Linked DNA regions of Saccharomyces cerevisiae S288C. Each later gene encodes a partner of the first gene's protein in a complex. Each region holds a gene or a part of one and is shown on either strand. Other genes may lie near its edges. A codon is read from its position in the direction of its gene.

Region 1 (3,916 bases):
GTGGCTAGTATATTTGTTCGAAACTTCCTTTGAAGGGCCTAGTAGATCTTGATTCTTTGTCACCTCAACATTGATTTTTTTTTGTTTCTTTGTAGTTATTAAATGATTTGAGAAATATTTTAGGGCATTCATTCAATTAATGAAACAATGTCCAGAAATTAACAACAATAAAGAAAAGTGAGAATAGGATGCAAAATAGGTTCTATATATCCCGAGTATTTACCAGGGAGAAGAATTCGAGATAATACCCTGTCCTTACGTAGAAGAATCAATTGTTTTCAAGAGTTTTTCTTCTAAAAAAGTGTCTGGACCTTTTTTTTCTCATGCGATTTTATTACCCTTGTTTTTCAATTGAAAACCCGGAACGATTTAACGAGATCAAGAACTGTTGAACAAAATGGCTTTTTCATTTGGCATTCCATCATAGACTCTAATGGAGAAGAAAAATAGTAATTTTTTCTGGTGCTGCTGCTCCTTCTTGCATCTTCGGAAACAGAATTTACGTATCTAAACACTACTTTAATTATACAGTTCCTTCATATAATACCAATTTTTTTAAGGTTTTGCTGGATGATTAGATCGGTGACTGCACTCAATACGAACTTCATAGTTTGGGTATCGGTAGCGCAGGTTCGTTTCACGTAGATTGGTTTGTTTGTCTTATTCAAGCTCAAAAATATCTTCTCAAAATATTTTAGACCCGCTTCTGCATCGCCGACACGTCCCTGGTAATCAGGAAAGTACTTTCTTATGGGCATGCTTTTTACCTTTTCCTCGAACAAATCAATTTTATTTAAAAACAAAATAAACGGTGTATCTTTGAACCACTTAGAGTTCAATAACGTGTCAAATAGCATTATTGATTCATGCATTCTGTTCACTCTTTCATCCTCAAACAACATCTGGTCGTATTCACTCATTGCTAAAACAAATAAAACTGCTGTAATTCCTTCGAAACAATGAATCCACTTCTTACGTTCAGAACGCTGCCCACCAGCGTCGAGAACCTTGAATTTGGACGAGCCGATGTTAAATTCGGTTTCTGTAATGCCTGTAGTCTTTATACGGCCCTTCAAAATGTCTTCATCCGTACAGACATAATTCGGACTAGCAAATTTCTCAATGTTATCAAAGTAGTATGCAGCTGAGCCCTCCAATTGAAACTCATTAGAACGTGCAAAACACTGCTTTATACCTTTGTCGTTATTCCAAAGTTGCTTTATTGCCTTAGCAATGTCTTCGTGAATAAGATTTCGTCTATTTTGTCCTTGAATTTCCCTTGATGTTTTTCTAACAAACATCTGGTCATCGCCTTCTTGGTTCAAGTCCTTGCAAATATCCTGTAGGTTAATTCTACTACTGTTGTTTCTATCAGCATCCTCATTTTGCGTCACCGTTTCAGCATCTCTGTCAGTGTCACTTTTGACATTAGAAATATTTCCGTCTTCATCGAAAGCAGCTTTTGCTCGTCCGGTACTCTGAACACGCCTCCTAGTTTCATACCTTTCTGAGTACTTCAGTACATAATCATTTAGAAAATCAGAACCACCGGCAACACTGGCGTTGATATAATCTAAAGCTTTAGCCTTTAGCAGTATTCTCTTGCATGCAAACAAATCTTTATTGTTGATCGGATCATCACAGTCAAGTTGAATACCTAGTTTTCTGGCCTGAATAATCAAAATTTTCATTGATTGTATGGCATCTGCCCATATCACTTGAGCATACTGTAACCTTTCTTGATGGGAGAAACCGCCTTGATGTAATAATTTTAATTGTTTTAAAACCGTTGATTTACCTGACTCACCGGCACCTAATAGTAACAGTTTTATTTCATTCTTGTCACGTTGTTTCTCCAGCTGCAACGATTGCTCGATGACATCATTGGCTCTTTTGTTCTGTAGAAAAGGATCACTTTCGTCTCCTATTGTTTGCGTACTCACTGTACACCCCATTATTTCCTACCTTAATATATCAATTTATACACCTCTGGATTATTGATGTGATGCTAAAATACCAATTTACAGTATGAATAGCTTCTACTCAGTTTGGTCTTAGAAATGGTCAAAAATGTTAGAAACGGAGTGACAAGAAAAAATGAATAACAGATCAAAAGATTACGAATAATATAAAACGTAAAGAAATTGGTGGAATTCTACTATCCTCTTCATTTTAGACTATTTTTTAATATTTCCCTTTAAGGAAAACAATATGTAACAAAAAAATTTCTGCTCTCCATTTAATTGCATTTCTACAAGGAAGAATACGCAGAAGGACGCGCAGAGCCCTAAATTGATGTGCTTTTTAACATGCTGAGCCGAGTGCGTTTCGGTGAAATAACACGAAGATGCGTTTCAAATTGAAACTAGTCAGTGTTATCTGCATGAAAAGGGAATATCGTTATGCATTCAGTTTTCCAATAGAGACATTTTTTTTTTTTTAGATTCGGCTTGCTTTATCCACCTATGATCTTGTTTTCAAACAACATGTGCCATGTAAGATAAAAAGGTAAAGATGAAGTACAGAAAAGAGTATAATGTTACTTGTATATACAGGATATGAATCAATAATACTAATTATAACGTTGAGTCGAGTAAAACAGCTTATGGATTTCTTTTCTTATTTTCGTCTTATCATTACTGCTTTAATGCACATTTCTAAAACTTACCGGCTGCGTTAAATGATTGGCCCATTTTCTGCATGTTTTCACCGACTTGAACATTGGTCTCAAAATATTTGGCCACACATCTGTCTAGGCACGAAGATTCATTCTTATTCAGCTCACCCTCGGAATAAGAAGTATTGATACATTTTTTATAACAGTTATTAACCAATTTATTGAACATGTCTGTGACCAAATCTAGTTCAGCTTCCGCAGCTTGAATCTTTTGTTGAGATGATAATTGAGGCTGACCACCACCGAAACCTAAGAAAGACATGTTTTTCTAAGTATGATAGTTCCTTCTTTTGCTTGTTTATCTGTTAAAAGACATGAGAGGGGAACGAGGAGAGTAATAGTTCTTTAGAGAGCTTGCTCTTGTACGTTCACTGCCAGCTCTCTCGCTGAAAAAATTAAAGAAAAAAAATGTCCGATAGCTTCAGAGGGTGATCATCAGCTACGAATTGGGAAATCAATGCAAAAAATGCTTCCAATCGGATTTGAACCGATGATCTCCACATTACTAGTGTGGCGCCTTACCAACTTGGCCATAGAAGCTCTAATAGTGATAGGACCCAGATTATATTTAGTGACTTGTTGATAAATGTTTTAAAATATTACCTTCGTGTCGTTATCGTTACTGAGGAAAGATTTGCAAAAAATAATTACATACTTGGGCTCTTCTGAACGAACAAGTTAACCAAAAAGGTGTATATTACTTCCTCTTGTTTTGTTTCCGGGCTAATGCTTACCTTTCCTTTGTTTCCAATGTTCTTCTTTAACACCAAAACATACTATTTGAGAAATGGGTGAATGTTGAGATAATTGTTGGGATTCCATTTTTGATAAAGGCTATAATATTAGGTATACAGAATATACTAGAAGTTCTCCTCGAGGATATAGGAATCCTCAAAATGGAATCTATATTTCTATTTACTAATATCACGATTATTCCTCATTCCGTTTTATATGTTTCATTATCCTATTACATTATCAATCCTTGCACTTCAGCTTCCTCTAACATCGATGACAGCTTCTCATAACTTATGTCATCATCTTAACACCGTATATGATAATATATTGATAATATAACTATTAGTTGATAGACGATAGTGGATTTTTATTCCAACACTATTTGAGGTTTGGCAACTGTTGAAATTATTGTTAGGACATTGTTAAAAAAGGTTCTTTTATTAGGTCTACAAAAACAAAAAAAGTTTTTTCACGAGGACAGCGTGAATCACAAAGGTGAGGTCA
Region 2 (3,830 bases), on another chromosome or scaffold:
TGCTGTATTGAGTAATGCACTATATTTATTAAGACTCACCCGTTTCAAAGCCTTCTTGCTGGCAGTAGTCGCATCTTTTCTAGTTATTTGCAAGACTTCTTCCCAAAGCGCCTCATCATACAGTTTTTTCTGTAAAACTGTTTGTATAGCACCATGGCGCAGGTCAAAATCGTTCTCGAAGAAATCAGAATTAGCTTCTATTTGCTTCGAAATTTCAGACGCATTTTGCAATAGCAGGTTCTTGTATATGATCAAAGGTAAACGCATAGATTGCATCGATATTGTCATGTCAAATATCTGGAAAAGAATTTTATGAAGATTGTTGTCACCGCTATCTATAGGTTTCAAATTATGTGCAAAGATTGTCAATATTGACCCAATAGCGAAAAGGGGCTCATTTTCGTCAAATTTGAATAGATTATAGAATTTCATGTTTGATTCCTTTATCAATGAAGAGATTACTCTCAATTGCTCAAATGAAAAATCTAGTGAGTTCATCATGAAATCCCTCAGATATAATAGGGTAAATGCTTCGATGCAATAAAACAGCCTTTCCATATCAATTTCTTCTTGCAATGAGAGATTTTCTAGTTCCAGTCCGTTCTCTTTTGTGACATTCCAACTAAAACACATGATGAAAACAGACACAATATCATGATAACCTTGGTAATAGTTCAACGTTGGGTACTTTCTCAATACCCGAGTAATTAACTCCACCAGTAGTTTTCTCAATTGCAGTTTCAAGTTTTTGTCGACAATTCCACCAAAAGACCTTTCTGCATCCAATATCACCTGACCTTCATCTTTATGTTTTTCCACTGGTGTAATGTACTCTGTTGCATCATCAATAAGCAACTGGGACGCCAATAATTCATACCAACAATCTTTTCTTAATGAGTTGTTTACAAACCCCAGAGGCCCTAAACCTATGTACCTCAAAGCTCGGACATCTTTTTTCTCTAATAACTTTGATATAACTTTTCCTTTTTGTTCTTCTGCCTTTCCACTGTCACAACGAGAAAGTGATTCCAGATATGCGTTATAACCTCCCCTTGTCAACGCGTCTTTGTCGTGGCTACTCTGATTAGTATGAAATAATGACCTTAATGGCATCGTATTTTGTTAATTGGCTTGTTCTATGTCATTTGCTAAATTTTCTCTTTATTTCTTTACTTTGCCAATTCAAGATAATCTTCCCTTCCCAGAGAGAAAAAAGGAAAAATTTAGCTATGAAACCTCAATAAGCTTTTTAATACACCAAAGATTCAAGATAAGAGCATAGAACGAACTGTAGAATAGTCCGGATATGTTATCCAATGCCTGCCAAAATGCATTGTCACACGCTGTAGTGCTCGAATAGGTGTTGCAATCCGTCAATATACGTCTTGCTCTGTGGGTAAATGTCTCGTGCATTAAGACAGGCTAGTATAAACGAGAAGAAGTATCCTGCTTTGCAATGAAACAATAGTATCCGCTAAGAATTTAAGCAGGCCAACGTCCATACTGCTTAGGACCTGTGCCTGGCAAGTCGCAGATTGAAGTTTTTTCAACCATGTAAATTTCCTAATTGGGTAAGTACATGATGAAACACATATGAAGAAAAAAGCTTTCCTACATATTCAAGATTTTTTTCTGTGGGTGGAATACTATTTAAGGAGTGCTATTAGTATCTTATTTGACTTCAAAGCAATACGATACCTTTTCTTTTCACCTGCTCTGGCTATAATTATAATTGGTTACTTAAAAATGCACCGTTAAGAACCATATCCAAGAATCAAAAATGTCTGATGCGGCTCCTTCATTGAGCAATCTATTTTATGATCCAACGTATAATCCTGGTCAAAGCACCATTAACTACACTTCCATATATGGGAATGGATCTACCATCACTTTCGATGAGTTGCAAGGTTTAGTTAACAGTACTGTTACTCAGGCCATTATGTTTGGTGTCAGATGTGGTGCAGCTGCTTTGACTTTGATTGTCATGTGGATGACATCGAGAAGCAGAAAAACGCCGATTTTCATTATCAACCAAGTTTCATTGTTTTTAATCATTTTGCATTCTGCACTCTATTTTAAATATTTACTGTCTAATTACTCTTCAGTGACTTACGCTCTCACCGGATTTCCTCAGTTCATCAGTAGAGGTGACGTTCATGTTTATGGTGCTACAAATATAATTCAAGTCCTTCTTGTGGCTTCTATTGAGACTTCACTGGTGTTTCAGATAAAAGTTATTTTCACAGGCGACAACTTCAAAAGGATAGGTTTGATGCTGACGTCGATATCTTTCACTTTAGGGATTGCTACAGTTACCATGTATTTTGTAAGCGCTGTTAAAGGTATGATTGTGACTTATAATGATGTTAGTGCCACCCAAGATAAATACTTCAATGCATCCACAATTTTACTTGCATCCTCAATAAACTTTATGTCATTTGTCCTGGTAGTTAAATTGATTTTAGCTATTAGATCAAGAAGATTCCTTGGTCTCAAGCAGTTCGATAGTTTCCATATTTTACTCATAATGTCATGTCAATCTTTGTTGGTTCCATCGATAATATTCATCCTCGCATACAGTTTGAAACCAAACCAGGGAACAGATGTCTTGACTACTGTTGCAACATTACTTGCTGTATTGTCTTTACCATTATCATCAATGTGGGCCACGGCTGCTAATAATGCATCCAAAACAAACACAATTACTTCAGACTTTACAACATCCACAGATAGGTTTTATCCAGGCACGCTGTCTAGCTTTCAAACTGATAGTATCAACAACGATGCTAAAAGCAGTCTCAGAAGTAGATTATATGACCTATATCCTAGAAGGAAGGAAACAACATCGGATAAACATTCGGAAAGAACTTTTGTTTCTGAGACTGCAGATGATATAGAGAAAAATCAGTTTTATCAGTTGCCCACACCTACGAGTTCAAAAAATACTAGGATAGGACCGTTTGCTGATGCAAGTTACAAAGAGGGAGAAGTTGAACCCGTCGACATGTACACTCCCGATACGGCAGCTGATGAGGAAGCCAGAAAGTTCTGGACTGAAGATAATAATAATTTATGATCAAAATTTACGGCTTTGAAAAAGTAATTTCGTGACCTTCGGTATAAGGTTACTACTAGATTCAGGTGCTCATCAGATGCACCACATTCTCTATAAAAAAAAATGGTATCTTTCTTATTTGATAATATTTAAACTCCTTTACATAATAAACATCTCGTAAGTAGTGGTAGAAACCACCTTTGCTTTTACGAGTTCAAGCTTTTTTCTTGCCATGATCTAGAACTCTCAGGCAATATATACAGTTAATCTTTTTTTACTGGGTTGTAGTTCTAATGTATTGTTTCGAAAAATAGCAACCAGGCACATATTATGTTCACCAAGTGGTGTATCCAGTACAGATTTCTTATTCCATAAATGAAACTGAAAACGGTTAAGTACACAAATAAAATGATGGTAACTTTACCATCCCACGTGTCTAAAGGTACGCTGTTTGGCATTTTGAAAATAGAATTATTTCCAACCAAAAAAATAATTGGTGCCACTGCTAGTATATTGTGATGGGATCTAAATGAAGTTTCCCATTTGATGGCAACATTATGCAGGAAAACAATAATGATAGGGATGTTAATGGCACTAACAAATAATAAAAGCAGAAGCAACGTCATATTATAATTTAGTAAGTTCAATTTCTGCTCGTTGTTTGATAGTTTCAACAGCGCTACTCTAATGCAGGTAGCAATTTGGATTACTAATGAGATAACAAACGCCATCTGGTATGGTATGTGAAAAAATACCAACAGTAATAAAAGCACAG

What was found.
Region 2: the proteins of GPA1 (region 1) and STE2 are in contact, whole or in part, in a cryo-EM structure (PDB 7AD3), measured with the Saccharomyces cerevisiae proteins. Residues at the interface, in NP_011868.1 of Saccharomyces cerevisiae: Ile310 (codon at 1,028), Gly311 (codon at 1,025), Ser312 (codon at 1,022), Ser313 (codon at 1,019), Phe315 (codon at 1,013), Asn434 (codon at 656), Tyr438 (codon at 644), Val439 (codon at 641), Gln448 (codon at 614), Lys451 (codon at 605), Phe452 (codon at 602), Leu454 (codon at 596), Ser455 (codon at 593), Ala456 (codon at 590), Thr458 (codon at 584), Asp459 (codon at 581), Ile461 (codon at 575), Ile462 (codon at 572), Gln463 (codon at 569), Asn465 (codon at 563), Leu466 (codon at 560), Lys468 (codon at 554), Ile469 (codon at 551), Gly470 (codon at 548), Ile471 (codon at 545), Ile472 (codon at 542); in NP_116627.2 of Saccharomyces cerevisiae: Thr78 (codon at 2,012), Pro79 (codon at 2,015), Ile80 (codon at 2,018), Phe148 (codon at 2,222), Gln149 (codon at 2,225), Val152 (codon at 2,234), Ile153 (codon at 2,237), Thr155 (codon at 2,243), Gly156 (codon at 2,246), Asp157 (codon at 2,249), Asn158 (codon at 2,252), Phe159 (codon at 2,255), Lys160 (codon at 2,258), Lys225 (codon at 2,453), Ser232 (codon at 2,474), Arg233 (codon at 2,477), Phe235 (codon at 2,483), Leu236 (codon at 2,486), Leu238 (codon at 2,492), Ser243 (codon at 2,507), Phe244 (codon at 2,510), Leu247 (codon at 2,519), Leu289 (codon at 2,645), Ser292 (codon at 2,654), Ser293 (codon at 2,657), Ala296 (codon at 2,666), Thr297 (codon at 2,669), Lys304 (codon at 2,690).

What each region holds. Positions count from the first base shown.
Region 1 is NC_001140.6:112,963-116,878, forward strand, and holds GPA1 (guanine nucleotide-binding protein subunit alpha), read right to left. Parts: upstream 1,956-3,916; coding exon 537-1,955; downstream 1-536. Other genes in the region: Nem1-Spo7 phosphatase catalytic subunit NEM1, read right to left, coding at 1-132; protein transporter TIM10, read right to left, coding at 2,658-2,939. UniProt on the Saccharomyces cerevisiae protein: Alpha subunit of the heterotrimeric guanine nucleotide-binding protein (G protein) that mediates mating pheromone signal transduction.
Region 2 is NC_001138.5:80,800-84,629, forward strand, and holds STE2 (alpha-factor pheromone receptor STE2), read left to right. Parts: upstream 1-1,780; coding exon 1,781-3,076; downstream 3,077-3,830. Other genes in the region: GTPase-activating protein GYP8, read right to left, coding at 1-1,113; BST1 (Bst1p), read right to left, coding at 3,346-3,830. UniProt on the Saccharomyces cerevisiae protein: Fungal class D1 G-protein-coupled receptor that acts as an alpha-factor pheromone receptor performing pheromone-dependent signal transduction involved in cellular conjugation, mating projection assembly, and in cell fusion.